3 linked regions of the Alligator mississippiensis genome follow. The protein of the gene in region 2 purifies or fractionates together with the protein of the main gene of each other region. This does not show direct contact. Links are inferred from orthologs where the notes say so. Each region holds a gene or a part of one and is shown on either strand. Other genes may lie near its edges. The genes, in order: TUT1, SART3 and PPIH.

The links.
Region 1: the proteins of SART3 (region 2) and TUT1 purify together in Homo sapiens (co-immunoprecipitation; 4 studies listed by BioGRID and IntAct, counting the BioPlex papers as one, with this or other methods). This does not show direct contact. The link is inferred for Alligator mississippiensis from reciprocal best matches to the Homo sapiens genes SART3 and TUT1.
Region 3: the proteins of SART3 (region 2) and PPIH purify together in Homo sapiens (affinity purification with mass spectrometry; 3 studies listed by BioGRID and IntAct, with this or other methods). This does not show direct contact. The link is inferred for Alligator mississippiensis from reciprocal best matches to the Homo sapiens genes SART3 and PPIH.

What each region holds. Positions count from the first base shown.
Region 1 is NC_081838.1:3,244,508-3,248,494, reverse strand, and holds the start of TUT1 (speckle targeted PIP5K1A-regulated poly(A) polymerase), read right to left. Parts: upstream 2,429-3,987; 5' UTR 874-2,428; coding exon 465-873; intron 197-464; coding exon 6-196; intron 1-5. Other genes in the region: metastasis-associated protein MTA2, read right to left, coding at 2,828-2,990, 3,160-3,308, 3,624-3,778. UniProt on the Homo sapiens protein: Poly(A) polymerase that creates the 3'-poly(A) tail of specific pre-mRNAs. Localizes to nuclear speckles together with PIP5K1A and mediates polyadenylation of a select set of mRNAs, such as HMOX1.
Region 2 is NC_081833.1:4,624,739-4,628,725, forward strand, and holds the start of SART3 (squamous cell carcinoma antigen recognized by T-cells 3), read right to left. Parts: upstream 2,338-3,987; 5' UTR 2,312-2,337; coding exon 2,114-2,311; intron 1,087-2,113; coding exon 960-1,086; intron 250-959; coding exon 145-249; intron 1-144. Other genes in the region: iron-sulfur cluster assembly enzyme ISCU, read left to right, coding at 3,731-3,904. UniProt on the Homo sapiens protein: U6 snRNP-binding protein that functions as a recycling factor of the splicing machinery. Promotes the initial reassembly of U4 and U6 snRNPs following their ejection from the spliceosome during its maturation.
Region 3 is NC_081836.1:1,382,233-1,386,219, reverse strand, and holds the start of PPIH (peptidyl-prolyl cis-trans isomerase H), read right to left. Parts: upstream 2,539-3,987; 5' UTR 2,498-2,538; coding exon 2,432-2,497; intron 2,343-2,431; coding exon 2,278-2,342; intron 1,603-2,277; coding exon 1,579-1,602; intron 1,321-1,578; coding exon 1,276-1,320; intron 848-1,275; coding exon 805-847; intron 35-804; coding exon 1-34. Other genes in the region: CCDC30 (coiled-coil domain-containing protein 30), read right to left, coding at 3,213-3,447. UniProt on the Homo sapiens protein: PPIase that catalyzes the cis-trans isomerization of proline imidic peptide bonds in oligopeptides and may therefore assist protein folding. Participates in pre-mRNA splicing.

The sequences.
Region 1 (3,987 bases), on a different chromosome or scaffold from region 2:
CTGACCTTGTCCTTGTCCATGACCACGCTGGCCACGCCGCCAAAGGCCTGGAAGTAGTCGCTGAGCTCGGCCACGTCCGTGCCCTTGCGGAAGCCGCTGACGAAGACGCTGCGCTGCGCCTGGGCCTGGCGCTGGGCCCGCAGCCCCGCCAGCCGCCCGTGCTTGCGGCCCCGCAGGTGGTCGTCCAGGCTGGGCCCTGCCGGGGGCAGGGCAAGGGTCAGGGGAGGGGCACAGGGCAAGGGTCAGGGGAGGGGGAGCGAGGTCAGGGGTCACTGCCTGGGTCTAAGGTAAGGTGCTCTGACGCAAGGGGGTGAGGTCAGCAGCCAAAGGTTGGGGGGCTCAGTCTGACCCTACAGGTCAGAGGTCAGGCCAGCGTTTCAGCCCCGCCCTGACCCACGTGGTGACCTCTGACCCCCCACGTGGTGACCCCTGACCTCCCCCCACTAACCCCGCCCCCCGCTCACGGTTGGCGGCGGTCACGTGGCAGAGGCGGCAGCGGAAGCCCCCGCGGGGCAGCGCCTCCACATCCGGCTCCATTCCGGCGCGGGTTCCGCGCGGCCGGAAGTGTCCGTCCCTGAGATTCCCCCGGAAGCCGCTCCCCGCCGGAAGTAGCCCGTCCGCGATAGGCGTCCCCCGACAGTCGTGTTTCCCGCGCCTTCCCTGCCGGAAGTGGTCCGTCCCCGATAGGGCTCCCTCAACTCCACCCGCCCTGCCTAGGACTCTTCGTTCCCGGGCCACAGGAAATGGTCCGTCCCGCCAACGTGCCCCCCGCTCCTTCCCATCCCGGCCCCGAGGAGCCCGCCCGGAGCACAGAGGAGGGAGGGAGGGAGGGAAGGACAGAGAGAACACCGCACCCCCACTTCCGGCCTCCATTGCACTGTACCTGCTGTCCCCCTGGCCCCTGAGCCGTGGCGGCCGACCTGGGCCACGCGCTGCCCGCAGGCGTCAAGGTGGCGGCCGCCCTCGCCTTCCACACCGTGGGCACCTACCGGGCAGGGGCCGGGGCAGATGCGGGCACCAGCCAGGCCAGCGTGTCCCAGGACACGGCCGCCCTCGCCCGTCGCCTTTGTCTGCTTCCCGACGCGGCGTGCGGGGAGCCCTGGGCTGCACCCACGTGGCCCTGAAGCCGCCGGACACCCATGGCCTCCCCCCCTTCGAGGGGCACCACGACGGGGCGGGTGGCTGCCGGGCGAGCCCCAGGCACCTCAGGCACCCTGCTGTGCCCCGCACCCCTTGTAGGGGGCCGTGGGCTCTGCGTGCCAGAGCAGGGCCAGGCCGCCGTCCCTCCCACCAGTGGATGGGAAAGGACTCCTAGGCGAGGCCGGGAGACCCTCCCCGCGCCGAGGCCTAGCGCCGGTGGCAGGGTAGAAGCTCCTGTTATGGGGGCTTTGCTGGGAGACAGCTTGGGGAGGGTTGGGGGCATGCCGGGGGCCCTGCCCTGCGATACCCTGCCTGAGCCAGCTCGGGATCCCCTCCTGAGCAGGTGCATTCCCAGGTCCCTGCCTTGTTTTTCCCTCCAGCCAGATGGGGCTGTTCCAGGAGCAGGGCCCCTGCCCTGTCTTACCCCGGGGCCTGCCTGGATTGGGCCCCTGCCCTGTCCCCACCCCCCTGAGCCAACTGGGACCACGCCTACTGCCTGCTTCACAGGCGGGGCCCCCACTGCAACCCCCCACCCTGGACCTCTTCAAGAGAAGACTGGAGTCACCCTGCTGGGGCACCTGACCCCCGTTATCTTCCCTGCTTGGTGCAGGGGGCCGGACCCAACGATCTTCTGAGGTCCCTTCCAGTCTTACGCTCTACGAACCCTAACCCCATCGCACGTGCTCTCCGCAGGTGACAGTATGATTTGCTACCCTACCTACTGCAGCCCTGGCTGCTGGTGCCAGCGGAGGCCCAGTGTTCAGCAGCGGAGCAGCACTATCACGTGGCCGCCCGGGCTGCTGTGGGGAGGGCTGAAGGGGCAGTTCCAGTGCCTAGCACGCTAGGGTGGGCCGGGGGGGGCTGCAGTACATGCCCCCAAAGGTCTTCAGCATCTTCCTCGCCTGCTGCATCCTGCACAACGTGGCTGTGGCTCAGGGGCTGTCCCTACCCTCGCTTCCAGGGCAGGCCCCCCAAGGCACATCCCCCTCAAACCCTTTCCACTGCCCCCCCTGCCCCGAGGGGCTGTGCCAGCGCCAGCAGCTCATCGACAGCTTCTTCTGCCACCAGGAGCTGAGGGACAGGAGCCCCCAGACATGGGGGTCATAGCCCTTGCGCCAGTGCAGTAGTGTGGGGGTGGGGAGCTACCCCAACAAGCTCCACCCAGGGCAGGGGAGCAAGGCTAGAGCTGCCCCAGGGAACGAGGCACCTCCAGGCCCTTGGCACTGGGAGGAGGGGGTATGGAGAGACCCCAGAGTTGTGGTCTGACTGCATTCTCTGTGCAATAAACCCCTCCATGGGCCTTGATTGCAGCTGTATGTCTGTGCCTGGCTCTCCCCCCATAAAGGAGATTGTAACACCCCCCCCAAACCACAGCAGTGGCAAAGGGTGAAGAAAAGGTGTCGTTTTATTTCCCGGTTGGTCACTATAAGAACTGGTTACAGGGCGAGGTACAAAAACACCCCGGGGAGGAGAGAGAAGGGCGGGCAGGCGCCCTCCCCTCTGGCCCTGGGGGGAAGGGGGGGGTAGGTCACACAGACAGGAAGTAGCTGCATTGAAGGGGGCAGCCCCAGAGGCCCGGACCCCCCCCTCCGCCCTCCAAGGCTGGGCCCCGGCCCCCCCAGCCACGTTGTGGGAGCATACATGGAAATAAAAAAATATAAAAAGGAAAGGCCCCCCCCCTCCCGGCTCAGTCCTCCAGGACGATGGGCTCCGTGGTGCTGGCGGGCCGGGCAGGGGGCACGGGCGCCAGGGGGGCAACTGTGGGGCGTGTGGCCTTGATCTTGAGGGGCAGGTTGGGCCGGCGGGCAGCTCGCCGCATCTCCAGGTGGGTCAGGGCTTTGCGCAGTGCCCTGTAGGGGGGGAGGGGAAGGTGGGGGGGAGTATGGTCACAAGTGGGGGGGAGGTGGGTACCCCCAGACCCTGGGGGCAGCCCTGGTGTCCTCCCACCTGCCCCCCACAGCAGGCCCAGGCTCCAGCCTGCTCTGGAGCCCCCTCTCCCAGACCCCCACCCCCCAGTACCTGGTGTCCTTGGTGGCAACAAAGACGACAGGGTTGGGGGCATCAGCTGGGTTGAGCTTCTGGCGCTTGGCGGCCGGCTGCGCGCTGGCCCGGAGCCCTGAGCTCAGGGGCCGCCCGTTGGCTGAGAAGGGGACGCCACCCCCCACCACCTGCGCCGCCCACGTGGGGGGGGTAGGAAGAAGGGAAGCTCAGCTGTGCCCTGGCTCCCCAGTCCAGCCCTGGCCCCCAATCCTGCCCCAGCCCCCTACCCCAGCTGTACCAGGAAAGCCCCCACTACTCCCTCCCCATCCCACCCCAGAACCTCCCACCCTGCTGCTGGCAACCCCCTCCCAGTCCCTGCTCCATTGCCAGGTAGCCCTTCCCCCACTACGATTCCCCCCACTTCCCCCACTATGATTTCCCCCTCAAGCCCCCACCCCTCTACAGCCCCCCGCGCCCCCCGATGCCTGACAAAGCCCCCCCACCTTGCGTACCCGGGCCACGCGGTGCGCGTCACTGGCCCCCTCGTAGGCCCTCTTGCCCACGATGCCAGCCAGGCCCCGGCTCTGGCTCATCTGGTTCCGGTTGATGGGTGTCTTGGTGCCACGCGGCGTCTTGGGCTTCAGCGGGGCCTGGGCCGCTGGGTAGAGGAAGAAAAAAGGGGGCTGTAAGAACCCCTGTGGAGGCCTCCCAGTGACATGACAGTAAAGAGGTGCCAGGCCAGGTCCAACCAGTGCCCCGTTCCCAGCCCTACCCCTGACTCCCAAGCCAAGTTGGTGGCATTGGCTGTGGGGAAGCCAGAAGTCCGGGGCCATGTCCGGGCCCCGTCTCAGAGCAGGAGGTGGCCGA
Region 2 (3,987 bases):
CTACAATCGTATGAGCCTGACTCTGCAATTCACTGCCTTACATAGGGTTTCCAAGCAGCTACTCTCTTCCTTCCAGGAAAAAAAAATTGAGGAGGAATAGTTCACAATAACGTAATGTACTTTTAGGATGTGTCTGCAACTTACAGATATAGTCTTTCACAGCCCGCTCGAACAAATCATACACCTTCTCTCGATCAGCGTTTTCTGAAGCCATTCTGATCTCGTCCTTTAACCAGTCCAGCCAGATTTCTGTAAGAGAGCAAGCATTTCAGACCCCATCAACCAAGGACATTCCAGAGCCTGAGAAACAAGCAGGATTGTTACCATGTCACTGGAAAAAGAATCTAAGCAGAGAATTACTTTTAAAAGAAATCAGGCCTTGAAACCTGACAGTTACCTACAGTGAACTGCGCTAACCTTTGGCCAGCTTTTACCCATTTGGACACCATACGTACGGGCAAATTTGTATTTAAAAGGAGAACAGCTGGTCCCTTGTGCTGTGAACCATAATTCCCTGTGCCCTGAACTGAAGCCATCCCACAACTGGTGCCCCTCTGTGTACTCCAACACGTACTTGGCCAGAGCGATTGCATTTGTCCCTAAAAAGGGGTCCCCCTACTACCACAACACTGTCAAGGCAAAGCAGGGAAACACACAGCTGCTGCGAGTACCAAAAACAAAACAACGAAATCAGTCTTTCGGCTCTCTGCGACTTAAACTAGTAAATTCAGGAAAAAAGACAAATTTTAAGGTTTTAGCCACTGCATGCCCAGCACTTGATTTTACTGCTTAAAATATTTGCATAAGAGCAGTCAACTGTGTCTACCTAATTTGGTCTTGTGAACCCTTCATGAAGTTGAACCCCAACACTTCACACAACACACAGTTTATTTTCTGAAGAGGGAGGAGGGTTGGTATCAAGCCAGAGGGAACGGCGTCAGCGACAAGAGCTCCCGTACCTTCAGTGAGCGGGAAGAGTTCGCTCATCTTCTGGCGAGCTCTTCGAAGCTTGACCAGCTCTCCCTCCTGACGGAGGAGCTTGATCAGGTCCAGGTGACAGTTGTAGTCGAACGCGTTGATCGAAAGCTTTTTGAAAGGAAGCGAAAAAGGCGTCAGATAGGAAGCATTACTCGCTGGAGCAGAAAACGGGGAGACGAACGGCTAGATTACAAACGTGTCGGCGGCCCCGCGCGCTGCTGTCCTTGCCCTGTCGCGGAGCAATACCAGGTGCTTCAAGGACATAAACACGATGACATCTTCATAACGCTTCTACGCTTAACCTGCCGCGGGTTCAAACAGGGTCTCCGATCGAGCAGTTCAGCTTAACGCCAGGGAGATTTTGCTCACCGGGGGCTCGCGAGCCTCCCCGAGCTGCCGGGAGCGCCGGCCGCGGCTGTCGTTTCAACTGTAAACGGGGGAATGCGTCTGCCCGTTTTTAACAACCTCTACCTACAAAAATGAACGTCTGTAAGCTAGAAACACCAGAGGGCTTCAACTCCTCCGACAAAAACCAGCCAAAACGAGCAATTTTACAAAAAAGGGATCGTTTCTGATCTGTCGGATCACAACCGTTCTTTATCGCCAAGCGAAGAACGACGCCTGCGTTTGCAGCTCAACGCTGGGGCGCGTTTTACAGTCCCTCGAAGCCCCCGACGGCGGCGCCTAAACCCGGAGGGCCAAAGGCGGTGTTTTATAGTTCGCTGAAGCCGCCGACACCTACACCGGGAGGATTCAAGATGACCTCGCGGCCGCCAACGGCGACACTGACACCGGGATTAAAGATTTTACAGTCCGCTGAAGCCACCGACAGTGACACCTAAGCCGGGGGGAGCTAAAAAGACGACGTTTTTACACTTCGTTGGAGACAGGAGGGCTGAAGTCGCGGCCCCGTGCGGGATCAACTACCACCCTCGAGCGGTCGTGGACGCCCCCCTCGACCGTGTCGGCCTCAGGCGTGGGGGGGAGGGGAAAGGGCCCGCGCGCTCCCGCCACCCCCACGCGAGGACCGTGCGACCGTTACGGCGCGTTGCCATGGAGACCGCGTGCCGTGGGGGGGGGGAGGGGAGGGGAGGGGAGGGGACACCCGCCACCCCCCGGCCCGGCCCGGCCCCACCTGCTCCTCCAGCCGCTGGATCTCGGCCTCGTTCTCCTTCTCCTCATCCTCGCCGTCCCCCGACGACTCCGAGTCGCCGCCGCCGCCAGCTTCCTCGTCTTCATCGTCCTCCTCCTCCTCCTCGGAGCCAGCCCGCCGTTCCTGCTGCTCCTCGGCCGCGGCCGCCGCGGGCTCCTCAGCTCCCGCCGCCGCCGCCATCTTGTGCCGCCGCCTGCCGCCTGCCCCGCGCGGGGCTGCCACGCCGCGCGCCTGATGGCTCCAGGATCCCCGCTGCCGCAGGCGGCGGCGGGAGCGGGAAGGAGCCGCCGCTGCGGGAGTCGTCCGATCCCTCCTGTAAAAACAAGAGCCTCCCAAAAGGGACCGGCGGCCTCCTCTTGTGTTTCATCCTGGCAGGCTACTTGTTCAGCCACCTGTAGCCCCTGAGGGCGCGGGGGCCTTCGAGAAGGTCAGCGCCGGGATTGGCTGGAGCTGGGGAAGGGAGGGGCGGGGCTTAGCCGCCATGTTGAGTGTGGCAGGTTGTGCAATGCAGGCAGCTGGCCTGGTGCTGCAGTGGGCTTCCAGCTGTTTCAGCGCATCCCGCTCGTTTTGGGGGCAGAGGCAATTCCTTGCAAGCATCAGCACTGTATGTGCACCCTCCGTCCCCCCGACTGCTGCAGCACCTTGTTGGGGGATGACACACACCAGGATCCCCTGCGTTTACAAAGCTGCCCCCATCCCCAACCCTGGAGATGCTGTGGAGCTGCTCCTAATTGCTGTCAAAATGGGCCCAACCCACGTTTGAAGTGGGGTAGTGCCCAGACCAGTTTCTCCAGGAGAGTCCCCCCCCCTCCCCCCATGGTGAAGATTTGGGAGCGACCCAAAAAGGATTTTGCCCACAAATCCCTGCCCAAACTCATGGTTGTGACCTTAGCGCAAGGCCTGGGGGGCTGGCGCTTGGCAGGCTGGCGTGTCGACGTGTACTTTGGGTCGGGCAGCGTCAGGTCTCCGTCTCCGTGGCGGAGGTGTGCGTTTTGGGTGCCCCCATGCAGCTTTTGTCCAGGCATCCCAGCCTAATCTCCGCTCTTTACCCAGAGCAACGGACTCGTTGGGTGCTATGGCCTGCCGTTTGTATCGGCAAACGCAATCTTTTCTCCTGTGCCTGACGAAGGATGTCGGTGCCCGAAAGCTCGCAGGGAAAGAATTTTTTTGCAAAAATCTAGTTGGCCCAGCAGCGCAGGGGCCATCTCACCCTCTCCCCTACGCACGGCTGGGCTTCGCCACTCCTGCCCGCGAGCCCTGATAGTATTTGTTAGCAAACATATCATTTCTGATGACCTTCTGCCCCTCCAGCCACCCACCCACCTTCAACTGGGTAACGATTAGCTTGGGACTAAGGCCTGGGGCAAAAGGAACCCGCCAAAACACCCCCCCCCCCCCCCCCCAAATCATCAGCTACCGGGCTCAACCCTCGTTTCCCACCGCCCAGCAAAGGGTTAACCAGGGGCACGTGGCGACGCCATTACGCACGGTGAGGGGGCGGGGCTAGCCGCCGCGGGGACGTAGCGGGCGCGGGGACGTAGAAGACGCCGGCGCCGCCGCGTTCAGGGTCACGTGACAGAGGGGGAGTGGCGGCGCAAGATGGCGGCGCTGCGGACGGGCGGGCGGCTGGCGCAGCTGTCCCGCGGCTACCACCGCAAGGTGGTGGATCACTACGAGAACCCGCGCAACGTGGGCTCGCTCGACAAGCGCAACAAGAACGTGGGCACGGGGCTGGTGGGCGCGCCCGCCTGCGGTGACGTCATGAAGCTGCAGGTGCGCGGGGCAGGGGGAGGGGGAGGGGAGCACAATACAGAAGCCCTGGATCGGGCGGGGAGCGGAAAGCAGAGCAGCAGATC
Region 3 (3,987 bases), on a different chromosome or scaffold from region 2:
CTCGGTATATACTAGCCACCCCAGTGCCATCTCCCTGTGTGAGGAGGGAGGCAATTATCAATCCCATCTCAGGAAAAGCATGTTTTTAAAATAATTCCAACAGAAAAGCACTTTGTTAACCAAAATTAAGGTTGAGGCTGTATTTTCATTTAGAAAAAAACAGTGTTAAGAAGAACACTAGAAATGAAAACATCTGAACATTGTTGAGCCTGGAAACCAGAAGTCAGCGCTCCACCCTAATCCTGCATTTGATCCTCCTCCCCCTTCCTCACGTCAGTTAGTCACAGACCGACCCCCAGGCCAGGTGAAACCAGAGGACAAGCGCAGAGACGGCGCGAGGGAAGCAGGTAGATTCCAGACCTCCAAGACCCGCCAGATGAAGTTACGGATGAGTTCGGGCTGCGCAGGGTGCACGTTCCACCGAAAACAGAAGGCAAGTAGGAAAGACAAGGATGGCTCTCGGGTTAGAAGAATGAGGGATGACAAGTGAGGGAGGCGCCTGTCAGAGGCTGAAGCTGGCAGAGATGCTGCAGAGTGGGGGCATGGGGGGCTTTGGCATCGCCAGAGTATATTCCATGGGTCTAACCAGGTATTCCCCCTCTTTGCTGAAAGGGCTTCTGGGCTCCAGCCACCTCCTTCCCCCCCGTCAATGCCCTCTCGCTCTTTCCTCGTCTTTCATTTACATATCCCCGCTCACTAAGCAACAGGTTCCAAAAATAAGTTAAACGGTTAAATACTGCCCCATGGGAAGAACACCACTCTGCATCTTTAAGGAAAGGAAACGGACAAACTCATAATACCTACATTTACAAAGTCGCCTCCCTGGATCATGAAATCCTTTATCACCCTGAAAAGTAATTAAGAACAAAGTAAACGACTGCTTCTCTGTGAAACATCTTCCCACAAAGTTTAGTATCTCAGAAACGACAGAGAAACAGCCCATGCCACAATAAAATGCACCTAGTGACTAGGTGATGGACTCGACATGGGATGACCTCTGACTTTGGACAAAGGCTGGACAGCGCTGCCTGTGCCCTGGGTGATAAGCACCGAGAAGAACATACTTTTTATCCGGCAAGTACAAGAGTGGCCCACAGAGGCAGAGTCGCCCAAACTATAGATGCAGGGCAGAGACTTTAGAAAGAAAACACTCTTCAGATCTCCTATCCCTCGATGACTACAGGATGCCTCCTACTTTAGGGACTGCTTTCAAACCCGGGCACCAGGCTGCGTCTAGGTCACCGCGCTGTTTTGAACAAGAGGAAATTGACTTACCGGTGGAAAGTGCTCCCCTTGTAACCTATAGGGACACCATCTTTCCTACAGCAAAAGACAAGGACACAGCACTGCAAGGTGCCGCTCGTCGCAGCTCGACACTTCCAGTCGGGCTAGAACCCCGGAGCCCGCGTGCCGGACCGACGGGCCCCCCCGCGCCCGGGACGGCCCTACAGCACCTGGCAGCAACAGCCATTCAGGCAGCACGGGGGTGGGAACAAACACCATCGGACTTCTCTGCTTTCTGGTCACGACACACCTCAATATGCCGCTTCAAAGGAGCGGTGCGCTGACCCCACGTACCTGAATTCACCCGTGCAGAACTGCCTGGAAAGAGGGGAAAAGAGAGCGCGCAGCACATGAGTCGCCTGAAAGAGGAATTTGAATCCAAACCCAATCACCGCTGCTCTGACTGCTTTACTGAAGAGGGACGAGGGGACTCCCCTTCCGAGCAGCAAGTGACACTGCTGACAGGAGCAGCAGCAACTGCGACCCTTCCTCCCCAAGGGCTGTTTCTCGGCATCAGCCTGGATCAGATGTTGGATGCCGAGAACGGGAAGAGCCAAAAACGTGGATTTGGGCATCACCCCCTGGAGACCCGCAGTGGGAAGGGGGGGCTGTGACGCCCGTCGAGAAGGGAGCGGCGGGCGCCCTCTCGTCAGACAGGCCGACGGGAGACCGAGGCATTCAGCTGCCGCTCCCGCGAGGCACGCTTGGGACGGGCCCGCGGAGGCTCGGAGCGACCCCGAGAAACGCGGCCAGCCACGCGCACGTCTCTGCTGGCTGCGGAGAGCGGCCTGGGCCGGGCCCGGACGGACCCAGCGACCAGCCTGGCTCACCGGGCACCGCGGGCCCAGCACCGCGCTCGGGGCCGCCACGTCTCCCCCAAGCACCGCCGCGGGGTCGCCACCGCCCGGGGACCGGCGCTCGGGCCCCCGCAGGGAAACGCGGGAGGGGGGGAGGGGGGGTGGCGCGCTGCGGTCCCGCCCCGCCCCGCCGCACCTGAAGTTCTCGGCCGTCTTGGGTATCACGTCGGCGAACAGCTCGATCTTCATGCGGCCCACCTCCTGCGGGGCGGGGAGGGGAGAGGCGAGGCATCAGCGCCGCCCGCACCCGCCCCGCCCCCCTCCTGCGCCCCGCGCCGCCCCGCCCGCACCTGCCCGCCGATGGTGACATCGAAGAAGACGACCGGGTTGTTGGGGTTGGAGGCCAGCACCGACATGACGCCCCGCGGCCCGGAACCGGAAACACGGCGGCGACTTCCGCCCGGAAGTCCCCGGCCCTGCGGAGCATGCGCGGGAGCGGCCGCCTCCGTGGGCGGGGCCAGCGCCACGTGCTGCGACAGGCGGCGGGCTGCGAGGGCGGGAGGGGAAGGCGGGGCGGGTTCGGGGCCCGCCAGGAGACGGCGGTGCCGAGCTGCCTGCGGGGCCACCAGGCGCTCCAACGGGCTCGTGCCCGACCCGCCAGCAGCCGCTCTCCATGCCGGCCCGGCCCGGCCCTTCCTGGGGCTGCCGGGCCGCCCGAGGGGCAGGGGCGGCTGCCACCGCGGCACCAGAGGCCGGGAGCGAGGCCTGGGGCCGGCCGCCCACCCGTGCTGCCTGCCGGGCGCCCCGCAGCCCTGCGCGGGTCCGGGCCCGGTGCGGAAGGAGCCTGGAGCCGCTGCTCGCCTCTGCTTCAGAAACCCCCTAGAAGCGCCCTGGACCTCCAGACAACCAGCGTCAAGCGGAGAAGAAACATTTTTTAAAATAACACTTTAATGAATTACTTTATGATTAAAAAAAAAAATAAATCCGACAGCTTTGGGACAAGACGTTGAGCTGGGCAAACAGCTGAAAACCAGTCACCGAATAATTTAGTTGAGAGGTGTCACAAAATCCACGTAATACGTTATTTGGCGAATGCTCCTCCCCTCCTTGTGCCCCGCGGCAAGGGAGAGCTCAGCTCCTTGCCGGGGGGCCATAGACATCGTCGCAGCAGAAACCCGGCCTCTCCTCCTGCGCCTGCAGGCTGGCGGGGTCTCCGGGGGACGCCACGTTCAGGTAGCCCATCTCGGAGGGCTGAGAAGGCGATAAGGAAGACGAGGACTTTTGGCTTTCAGCGCCTTCGTCGGACTTGGCTTCTTGAATGGCTCTCAGCACGCTGAGCGAGTCCGACAGCCCCGCCGCTGAGAAGCTGCAAAAGAATTCCCGCCCCGTGTTCGCTCTGCAAACAGCGTCTCCAGCTGCGTCCTCGCGGGGCCCCACCGCCGCCACACCCGCGTGCCACATGGTCTTCGTGCTGCTACCCCCGGGGGCGGGAAAGGTCTAACGTAGAGACAGGCCAAACCCCAGATCCTCACGGGCACTCAGCTGCCTTCCTCCCGAGGAGCCTAATGCCCATTCAGACCCGTTAACTGCCCCCTCCTGTTGGCAAGGTCTGAGACTCTAACTGTGAGGTCTGTCGTGCTCCCTCGCTGCAGCAGTAACTACTAGTGCTCGGCTGTGCTGCTGCAGCACTTGCAGGCCCAGTCAAAGATCGAGCTCGGGGCCGTGCACAGTCACAGAAAGCCCCACGGGACTTGCAAACTAAAGGAGGCAGCAGCTAGTAGATGCTGGTTAGCTCCACCCCTCCGTCCTACCGCACGACCAAAAGACACGAGGGAATAAAATAAAGGGTGAAACTTGTGTTTTGAAAACAGGAATCCATGGCTTCCCTATTCCCCAGTGCTGACAG